Linked DNA regions of Oreochromis niloticus. The protein of the gene in region 1 purifies or fractionates together with the protein of each later gene. This does not show direct contact. Links are inferred from orthologs where the notes say so. Each region holds a gene or a part of one and is shown in the gene's direction. Other genes may lie near its edges.

Evidence for each region. Proteins that work in one complex are often made in the same cells at the same time.
Region 2: the proteins of psmc2 (region 1) and psmd9 fractionate together in Homo sapiens (co-fractionation; 4 studies listed by BioGRID and IntAct, with this or other methods). This does not show direct contact. The link is inferred for Oreochromis niloticus from reciprocal best matches to the Homo sapiens genes PSMC2 and PSMD9.

What each region holds. Positions count from the first base shown.
Region 1 is NC_031981.2:38,762,615-38,767,586, forward strand, and holds the start of psmc2 (26S proteasome regulatory subunit 7), read left to right. Parts: upstream 1-2,343; 5' UTR 2,344-2,454; coding exon 2,455-2,524; intron 2,525-2,772; coding exon 2,773-2,810; intron 2,811-2,911; coding exon 2,912-2,993; intron 2,994-3,969; coding exon 3,970-4,069; intron 4,070-4,248; coding exon 4,249-4,380; intron 4,381-4,472; coding exon 4,473-4,545; intron 4,546-4,626; coding exon 4,627-4,722; intron 4,723-4,818; coding exon 4,819-4,972. Other genes in the region: dnajc2 (dnaJ homolog subfamily C member 2), read right to left, coding at 244-434, 1,902-1,956.
Region 2 is NC_031977.2:19,453,934-19,458,905, forward strand, and holds the start of psmd9 (26S proteasome non-ATPase regulatory subunit 9), read left to right. Parts: upstream 1-1,818; 5' UTR 1,819-1,901; coding exon 1,902-2,027; intron 2,028-2,122; coding exon 2,123-2,222; intron 2,223-4,972. UniProt on the Homo sapiens protein: Acts as a chaperone during the assembly of the 26S proteasome, specifically of the base subcomplex of the PA700/19S regulatory complex (RC).

The sequences.
Region 1 (4,972 bases):
AGCTCATCCATCAAAGCGGATTATTTTCCTCTGTTTGGAAAGACTTTGGATTCAGGGCAAGCAAGCACAACACAGTTAACTTATTCAAACACTTGAAAACACACCAGGAAAAACAAAGCAGAGGTTGCTAACGTGAATTATCATCGACTCAGGCGTCATTAAAGCACGCCTGTGCAGCGTGTCAGTCAGTCAGGGTCAAAGCAGGGATCTCTTTACAAACAGCTGAGATCTAGTCTCACATACCTTCCAGTCTTTAGGATCAAGTTTTCGGAGCATGGAGTACTCCTCCAGCTGAAACTCCTCATCTGCCGACTCTTCTGAGGACTCCTCCTCTTCCTCCAGCTCCTGGAAGGAAGACGACACATTCCTGTTTCTCCTCCTTATGTAGGCCTCAAACCACCGACCCACAGGCTCCACCTGAACCTGTGCAGAGGCTATAAGGAGGAAGAGACATTTTGGTAAATTAAACATCTTTGTAAAACTAAGTGTTTCAGTACTTTGACTCATTACTCATCACCTAAGATGTTTTCTCACACTAAGAAATCGAACCTGCTCGTACAGTCAGAGGAAACTAAGTCAGCCCTTTGGAACCATCTGCACTTGAAGTTTTGTTTTACACTGAAGAAAAAACTGCAAATAATAGAGTAGAAAATCGAGTGATCTCCAAAACACAGCATGGATTTATGTATCAATTTGTTTTAAACGATTTTAGACTGAAGAGGGAACGACACGTACACAAACTTCAACACTGCAAGAGATTTTTACCAAAGCCTCAGGCGTTAATTAGCATGTCAGGGCTAAAGCATTTGCAAAGGTTTGCACATTTCAAAGCTTTACATCAGAAAGACTCCAAGGTGGAGGGCCCTGGCAGCTATGGCTGTCTTTTATGTACAGTCTATGGTTGACAGCTGGGAAACTAAAAGGCTGTTTGGCAGGAAAGAGCTTCAGAGAGACTAAGCAGACTATGCTCAGAATCAGAAAGGGTTTTATTGCCAAATGTTACAACATTAGGAAATTGCTGCAGTACTTAGTGCGAAACATACTGTAAGACAAACACATAAATAAAAATTAAAAGTGCTGAGCAGATTGGTATATACATGAATGCAGGTGATCAGTGCAAAAATGGAACCGATGCAGAGAACACAGTATAGGGTCATGTGTTTGTGGTGGGAACAGTCCTATGGTTATTGAAGAACTGAAGAACAACATACTTCATTCCACCAAGCACCAAGCTCAGTGCATGTGTCACAACCATCACTGACCCAAACATGGTGGAAAGTCTCACTAAACAACTCAGGATCCTCCAAACAAGAACTCCCACAGCTGAGAGAGGTCCCAAAGGAAGCGGTCCCAAGGACTGACTCTGAACATGTTGCGTCTCTCTTGCTTTGTCATTTTAAAGCTACAAAAATATAAAATGCATTATTATTGGACTGGAACGGGTGTGGAGATAAATCAGCCCTGACATGTGACAGACTGTGCCGCGACACTGTCACAGTTTAACAGCCGTCAGTCAGTAACAGTGCTGCATGTGTCTTCAATTTACTCCTGTCAGAGTCACAGGTGTTCAGCCCTTACGTAACAGCCAGGTAATGACTCCACATGAAAGGCTGTGAAATTCCAAACTAGTCTGTCATTAATAATAAGAAGCCAACTAGCCGGTGAAGCTGGTGAGAAGCTCTGGCGGCTGCGAGTGAACCCGGCGACAAACGCCGTTTGGATAACCCGAGACACAACACGGCTAACTACTAAAAACGCAGAGACTTTACTAAGATTCAAATTAGCCGGTAATGTTAGCCTGCTGTGTGCGCTGTTTAGCTGCATGCTAACAAGCAGGGCAGCAGTCAGTGTGTAAAGGCTGCTTAACTAGCTGCCTTTCTCTGACCTCCTTCAGTGCTTACCGGCAGCTGCTCTGTAGACAACCGTTTCACCCCCATCCGACGCTTCCAGCAGCATTTTCAAAGCAGGTTACGCGAACATTCAGATGCCCAAATAATCAAGTGAGACCTTCAGAAAGTGCTACAGTCTATGGCCCGCTCTCTACCACATGGGCCTCCTTTCGCCACTGCCAATCCGAGAACGAGCTCTGCTGTCACACCGCTAAACCCTCCGGGTGTATCATCGCGCCTCGTCACTTGTAGTTCCGCCGTCTTTGTTTTATCTGTAGCTTAAAACCTGGCCCCGCTAGCTAAACATGTCACACAATTTCTCTAATAATTATGAAGTAAAAATGATACGCACAAGATTTCTGTACCCCCCAACAGACCACCATGATAATAATTTTTTTTTTTTTTTTTTTTTTAAAAACCATGAAGCTGGTACATCCTCAATACAATTCCCGCTTGTGTGTTCCGGTAAGTGGCGCATAGCGGCGGAAGCCTAAAGCTGCTGTGTAATTGTAGAGTTTAGCAGTCCCGATTGTTCGCGACTAAACAGTTTGTTCACACATTAGACATGCCGGACTATTTGGGAGACGACCAAAGGAAGATTAAAGAAGAGGAGAAGGATGACTCCCCTATTAGAGGTATATCTAAAATAGTTTATTTAAAACATGGATACTATTTCCCGAAAAGAAGCGTCGATATCAGCTAGCAACATGGCTAATGTTAGCTTAGCTCGTTGAAAACAGTTGGTGAATGTATTTGCTACCATGTTGTTATAAATATGATCTGTTTACGGTGGAATAAAAAGTCTTGTATATACTGCATCGCTCAGTCCGACGACGGTGACAGAGTGCACGCGCATTCATGTGATTGTGATTCTTTTTTAAAGCTTTGGATGAAGGGGACATCGCTCTGCTCAAAACATATGTAAGTATGGATTTCAAACAAAACCACAGCACCAAGCAAGGGTCAAGGAAATGGAAGTGATTCCACAGTGAGTGAATGTGTTGTTTGCTGTTCACCACCAGGGTCAGAGTACCTATTCCAGACAGATCAAACAAGTGGAAGATGACATACAGCAGCTGCTCAAGAAGATAAATGAGCTGACGGGTGAGCGACGAATCCAGAAGTACATTTGTGCCACAGCAGGGCAGTAAGATGTAGAGTTCTCAGTAAGCTTCTTACTCGACTTGTTGATTGTTTAAAAGCGGTCATAAGCAACAAAACGTAATTTATTGGAAAAGCTCATTTGCCGAATTAACTTTCTAAACCTCCGAAATTTCCAGAAGCCACTTGTGTCTGACCAAATTTCAAGTACTGCGTCAAAATCAGGGGTTTTACTCCGGCTTTCTTAGATTTTCTTTACTTGGAATTCACCATTACAATTTTCAAACGTATTCAGATATTCTCAGTTTCATTTCTAACAACCAACAGTAGTACAGGAAGTATTTGGTAGCTCTATAGAAGTGGTTTACACATTAGCTGACAAGCGAAAGGTCGCTGGTTGATTCCAGCAGGAGATGCAAATCAGAAAAGGCTTCTGGACTAAAAATCCTGAATGAATTTTGTCACATCCAGAAACGATACAAAAGTTACAGACTTGATGATAACTGCAGCTGCATTGTCCTGTGCATGTTAAGTGATTATCTTGCAACATACACAGGACTCAATAGCACTGTTGCACTATACAAATACATTTGGACAAGTTTCATTAAGTGCCAGTTAAACCTCGTGTATTTTCACCCCTCACTTAATTATTTGGTGCTTGCATGGCCTGTTACTTTAGATGCAGCTGTCTAGCTGGCCTTTCCTGGCCACCCAGTACTCTGGGCTAAGGTAACACACAAAGAGAGATCACCTTTTCCACCACAACCCACTGCTATGGGGCCAGTTTAGATTTAAAAAAGACATGTCTAGTTGACTTTAACTCCAAAAAATGGTAAGGGCAGCATTGCTGTTGAAAATGGATCGTCTTAAATTTGGAATGATTGTCCAGCTTTATCAGAGGAGTATATATGGACGGTTTTGGTTCTTTGGAATGCTGCACAAGATGCTTTGTGTCTGATTTGTTTTTTTAATTGCACAGGCATCAAGGAGTCTGACACAGGCCTGGCTCCACCCGCTCTCTGGGATCTAGCTGCTGACAAGCAGACACTGCAGAGCGAGCAGCCGCTGCAGGTAGCAAGGTAAATGTTTAACTTTAACATCACCAAAATGTAAAGTGTGGTGTTATATCGCTGATCTTCCCTGTGGGATGTTTCGAGGAACATTCCTGTCAATCCGACATGAATTTTCTTAGCTTTCCTACTTCCTTCCACAGCATTTCCATTATGTAGCTTCATGATTCTTTATTTTTTTCTGAAAGATGCACAAAGATCATCAATGCAGACTCTGAGGATCCCAAATACATCATCAACGTCAAACAATTTGCCAAGTTTGTGGTGGACCTGAGTGACCAGGTGGCTCCAACTGACATCGAGGAGGGCATGAGAGTGGGGTGAGGCAGAAGCATGATTTAAATGTGTTACATAGTTTCCAGAAGGTTCCGTCAGCTGTAAGCTAAGTTTAGTGTCCTGTCTGTTTTTCCAGGGTTGACAGAAACAAGTATCAGATCCACATTCCTCTGCCTCCGAAAATCGACCCCACTGTCACCATGATGCAGGTTAGGAGGCGAGGAATACTTTGTGATTGTTTGGTTATCTGTCTGCTTGCATGTGATAACTCCTTTGCCCACTTGCTTTAGGTGGAAGAGAAGCCTGATGTGACCTACAGTGATGTTGGTGGATGCAAGGAGCAGATAGAGAAGCTGAGAGAGGTGGTCGAAACTCCGCTGCTCCATGTGAGTGTTCCAAAGTTAGAACCACCACTGAGGCATGAGTGAAGCAACTGTCTTCTGCACATGGAAGCTCACTTGTCGTCTTTTTCTTCTCACCAGCCTGAGAGGTTTGTCAATCTGGGAATCGAGCCTCCTAAAGGTGTGCTGCTATTCGGGCCCCCCGGTACCGGAAAGACCCTGTGTGCCCGGGCTGTGGCCAACAGAACAGACGCCTGCTTCATCAGAGTCATCGGCTCTGAGCTGGTGCAGAAAT
Region 2 (4,972 bases), on another chromosome or scaffold:
ATGCTCCCAATGCAGGAGTAGGGCATTTGTAAGCCAGCTGAAGATGAAGGAGAACTTACTGAAGGAAACTTTATGCATGCAGTAACACAGTGTTCACAGAGGTTTTAATGACTTTAGTCCAAATTATTCGCACATCTGTCCAATTTAAGCATTGAGCCAATAAATCACATTCCAGTTTCCAATAAGAGATCTCATATGTACCATTTAAGCACTCAGGGTACACAGCACTTACAGATGTAGAGCGAACACTATACGGTACTTATTCACTATGATAATTTTGAATAGTTTTATACCATTGTGCCTTTATGTATGCTGCTCTGAAATTCAGAAGTATGCTACAGGACAACTTGGTGGGACTGTTCTTGACTAAAAGTCAGGGGTGTATTTGTGAAAGCTGTGTATTTGTTCTTAGCACGTGGGTGCAAAAAAATGTTCAGCATACAGAAGCTGCACGTTGTTTACAGCTCTTGAAAGATTTCTGAAAAAAATCCAAGGGGTTAATCTAAAGATCTGTGATTGTATGTATCTAATATATTAAAGGTGACACATGATTGAATGTAATGTGTTTGGGTGTTTTCCTTCACTAAACCAGATGATTACTTGCCATATCGCCAACAGAGAAGTTTTAGAAACTTAGCTCTTTGGAAAGTCAGACAGGTGTCAGATGTTGAAATGACTCAGTCCAATGCCTAACTGATAGAGTCCAAACCTGTTCCTCCTTTACTAATTTCCTTTACTAATAAAAGATCAAAAAAACTTTATCAAATAAATGGAAAACTGAAGGGTTTCAAATTCATGCTGAGATTCTAGTAGCAATAACTGTCTGCATCTTATATGATAAAAAATAAACTGTTTTTTTTTTAAAAGCTACTAACATTTTTTTACACTTTTGTTTATTTAGTATGCAGGAAAAATCCAGTACTCAAAAAAGCCTCACACTAATATTTTGTTTAGTTTTGGTGAGGGCAAAGCAGTGATAATCTCATGCAACTTCATAACTGTATTTTCATCCAGCATTACTGCATCATTGGAAGGGGGGTGTCTAGTCATTCAGGATATACAGGCAATAAGTTATCCTAATTTTTTGGCGAATAAAATTGCCTAATCTAGATCTTCAGTCGAGTGGAAGAGAGCCTGACCATAATAACTAAAAGTAAAGTCACGTATGTCACAGTGAGTAAAGAAGAAATGCTCAATGCATCATGGGAAGCCCCCAGCAGGCAAGGCCTATTGTAGTGTTACTAAGGAAGGGTTGGGGTCAAGGTCACCTGATCCACTCCTAACAATGAACTATATTAAAACGGAAAGTTTTAAACCTAATCTTAAAAATAGAGAGGGTGTTTCTCTCCCAAATCCAAACTACGAGCTGGTTCAGCAGAAGAGGCCCTTGAGAGCTTAAGGCTCTGCTTCTCAGATGGAAGCAGGTAGAGGGGGAAAAAAAACATATGAGCTGAGAAATGCACAAAAGGAAGAATCATTGATCACTGTTGTGTATGAGATGTTGGAAGTTTTTTATTTGGTCTTTGTACTGATGGAACCCAGTGGTGAACGTGTTATCCACTGGAGTATAAAAATGTAAACCAAAGTTTAAACGTTTCAGTTTATGTATTTTTTTTAGAAATTCTATACGTGTCATTTAAATTATTAGTTATTTAATTCTAAATCTGCGCTTTCGGCTGTAGTTGTTTTGGACAACATAACAATGACCAACAATAATTACTACTAATTTCATTATTATTTGTGCTGGTGGCAGTAATATCAGTTTAAAGATCGTCAGTATAGTTCTAAAATGTTTTCGTACAACGAGCAAATCATTGAGGGGCAGCGGAGCGCTTTACTGCCAAATAAAACCAAGAGAAGAAGAAACAGGAGCTATACCGGAAGCACTAGTTGGAGTAGCCATGAAGATGACGGATGAAAACATTTCTGGAAACTCCGAAATAACAATGGGTGATGTTAAAAACCTCATCAAGAAGAAAGATGAAATTGAAGAGCAGATAAAGGCGTATTACGACGTCCTACAAGACGTAAGTCAGCGACCATATTATTAGCAAAACGTAGCACAAAGCTAAGTCTCAGTAAGGTTTTTTTTTTATTCGTCTTTGTTTACTTTTATTTACAGCAGGGGGTCGGAGTTGAAGACTCCTTGGTGGATGCGGAGGGTTACCCACGAGCAGATGTTAATCTGTACCAGATTAGGACGGCAAGGCACAACATTTCATGTGAGCGGCAGTTTGTTTGCTTTCAGTGGTTTCCCTGACAGCTGGAGACACGCGTGTCGTGTTTGACTGTGTGGCAGATAATGGTCTCTTTATGTTGTGTGGCAGAAAAACTGATGTATGCTATCAAAGCACAAACTGATATCTGATCATTTACCCACACACCACGTGTGCGGTGCATTTTTAAAAGTTAAAAAAGTATTTCAGATAACTTATCTACGAGCCCAAGGCAAAAGTACATGTTAATGGTCACTAAAAGATTTTAAAGGTGACACCAACGGATAATTCTATTTGGTTTTAATACATGTAGTAAGCATTTTAAATGCCGTTTATTTTGCTACGATGTAATACACTTGCCAGAGTGTACACCAGATTGCACCCACCTTTGCCTTCAGAGCTGCCTTAATGCTTCATTGCATAGATTCAATAAGGTGCTAAAATACACCTGGCTCATATTGGTTTGGTTTATGTTGACATGATAGCGTCACATAGTTCCACCATAGCCATAAGGTGCTCTAAAGAATTGACCTTTGAGGGCTGTAGAAGCACTTTGAGTACAGTGAACCTTCTTGGACATGACAGTGCTGTCCTGTCTGTGTCGTGCTTGGACATTATACTGTCATCCATCAGAAGCCTGGCACATTGTGTGGATAAAGGGATGAACATGGTCAGTAACAATACTCTGGTAGGCTGTGAAGTTTAAATGATGCTCACTCAGTACTAAGGACCCAGAGTGGGCCAAGAAAATATCCCCAACACATCACCGCAAACTACTTGAACTACTGATGCAGTGGATTCATGCTTTTGTTGCAGCAGAAATGAAAACTCATCAGACCAGGAAACATTTTTCCAATCTTCTGTTGTTTGATTTTAAAGAGCCCCTCGCCATTTGTAGCTGTAGTTTTTTGTTCTTAGTTGACAGGTGTAGCACCTAGTGTGGTCTTCTGTTGCTGTTGCTAATATGTCCCAAGGTTCCAGATGTTGTGAGTTCAGAGACGCTCTAGCGTGGCTATAATGAGTGGTTATTTGAGTTACTGTTGCCTTCCTATCAGCTTGAAGCCATTCTCATCTGACCTCTGACATCAGCAAAGTATTTTCACTCAGAGAACTGCCACTTACTGGATATTTTCTGTTTTTCAGACCAGTCTCTGTAAACCCTAGAGATGGTTGGTTGAATGTAACCTCCCTGCTACATTCAATGTAGCTGCTGCCATGTAATTGGCTGATTTGCAAAGCAGTTGAACAGATGTCTTCAACAAAGTGGCTATTTGGTATATATTATATACTTATGTTTACTTAATATTTTATTTAATGTATAATTATTATTTATTATATTTCTTTGATTTCAGATTATTTTTAATCCCTTTAAGATATTTATTCTATACTTAATAATAAACTGAGCTTTATAAAAGGAAGAAGACAATGAAAAGATTCCATTACAAAATACAAAATCTAAAGGTCATGTTACATATTTTCTGGTCATATAATAAATGTTAGGCTGATATTTAATGTACACATTAAAAAAAAAAAAGACAAAGTAGCACATCTCCACACTGAAGTAGCTTCATCCATTAATGAATCAATTAATTTCATAAAGATCTCAGCTCTATATCAATAAAGTTCTTTGTATATAAACATATTCTTAACTAGAAAGTGCATTTTCTGAAGAAACTGCAGTGTGAATGCTTGAATCTGAATGTATGCACTGAAATGAATTAATTGCTGAATTTTAAGTTAAAAATTTTGAATGAGATGAAAAATACAGAAATTTTCGCCTGAAAACAAAAGTGCTGAACTGCTAAAAGCTGACATCCACAGAGAAGAAGTTGGAAAATAGTTGAAAATGTTTTAAATGGAAATTAGACAAACCTAAGAAATGACAAAAGAAAATTTAAAGTCAGAAAACATCTGAATGAATATTAAAATTTCATATTCTTTAAATCACTGAATTACTAAAGTGTGATCCCTCCACTTGGATCTACACAGTTTAAAAGGTTTACATTTCTGAGCTTTGAAAGACACGCTGTTGGAAAGAGAAGAACGATGGCTTCGTTTTGAGGGTAAAATGATGGCTGTAGAGCAAACACTGTGGACACAGCAGCAGTTGAAAGAGAAGTGTTTAAGATGAATCTTGGCACAGTGAGAGACAGAACTCATTAGGCAGGCAGGTGTGAGCCTGGTTGCTATAGTGACTGCACCCAATGGCTCCATACACACGCTCACAGACATGCACCTCACTTTTGCTGCTTAAAATGAACAGAAAAGTCAGGCCGAAACAAATCACTCCCAAACGAAAAGTATAGGTCGTATTGACAAAATTCTTTCACCGTGAGCGGCAGCAATGTCTAGTCTACCTAATTCTCAGTTTTCATGCCTGTGGAGTTTATTATATGGACGTGGTGACAGTGTAAAAACACCATGCTCTTCTGATTTTCAAACGAACCTTCTGAGCCATTTTAACATTAGAGTCTATGGAGGAGTTGGAGGGAGGAGGCTGTGCTTTGGTGACATTTATGAAAGAACCATAACACCTAGTACAATAGTAAACACATTGGATGAAAGAGGACAGCGATGGCTACGTTTTGAGGGTAAAATCATACCTGTAGAGCAAACGCTGCGGACACAGCAGCAGTTTTAAAAAGGATTTTAAGATTAATTTTTTCGCTCCTCTCACTCTAGCAGTTGAGCTGTCTCACTCTAGCCCCAACATTCCGTCCCATACACACCCATTATAAACTCTGAAACGGCTGAAA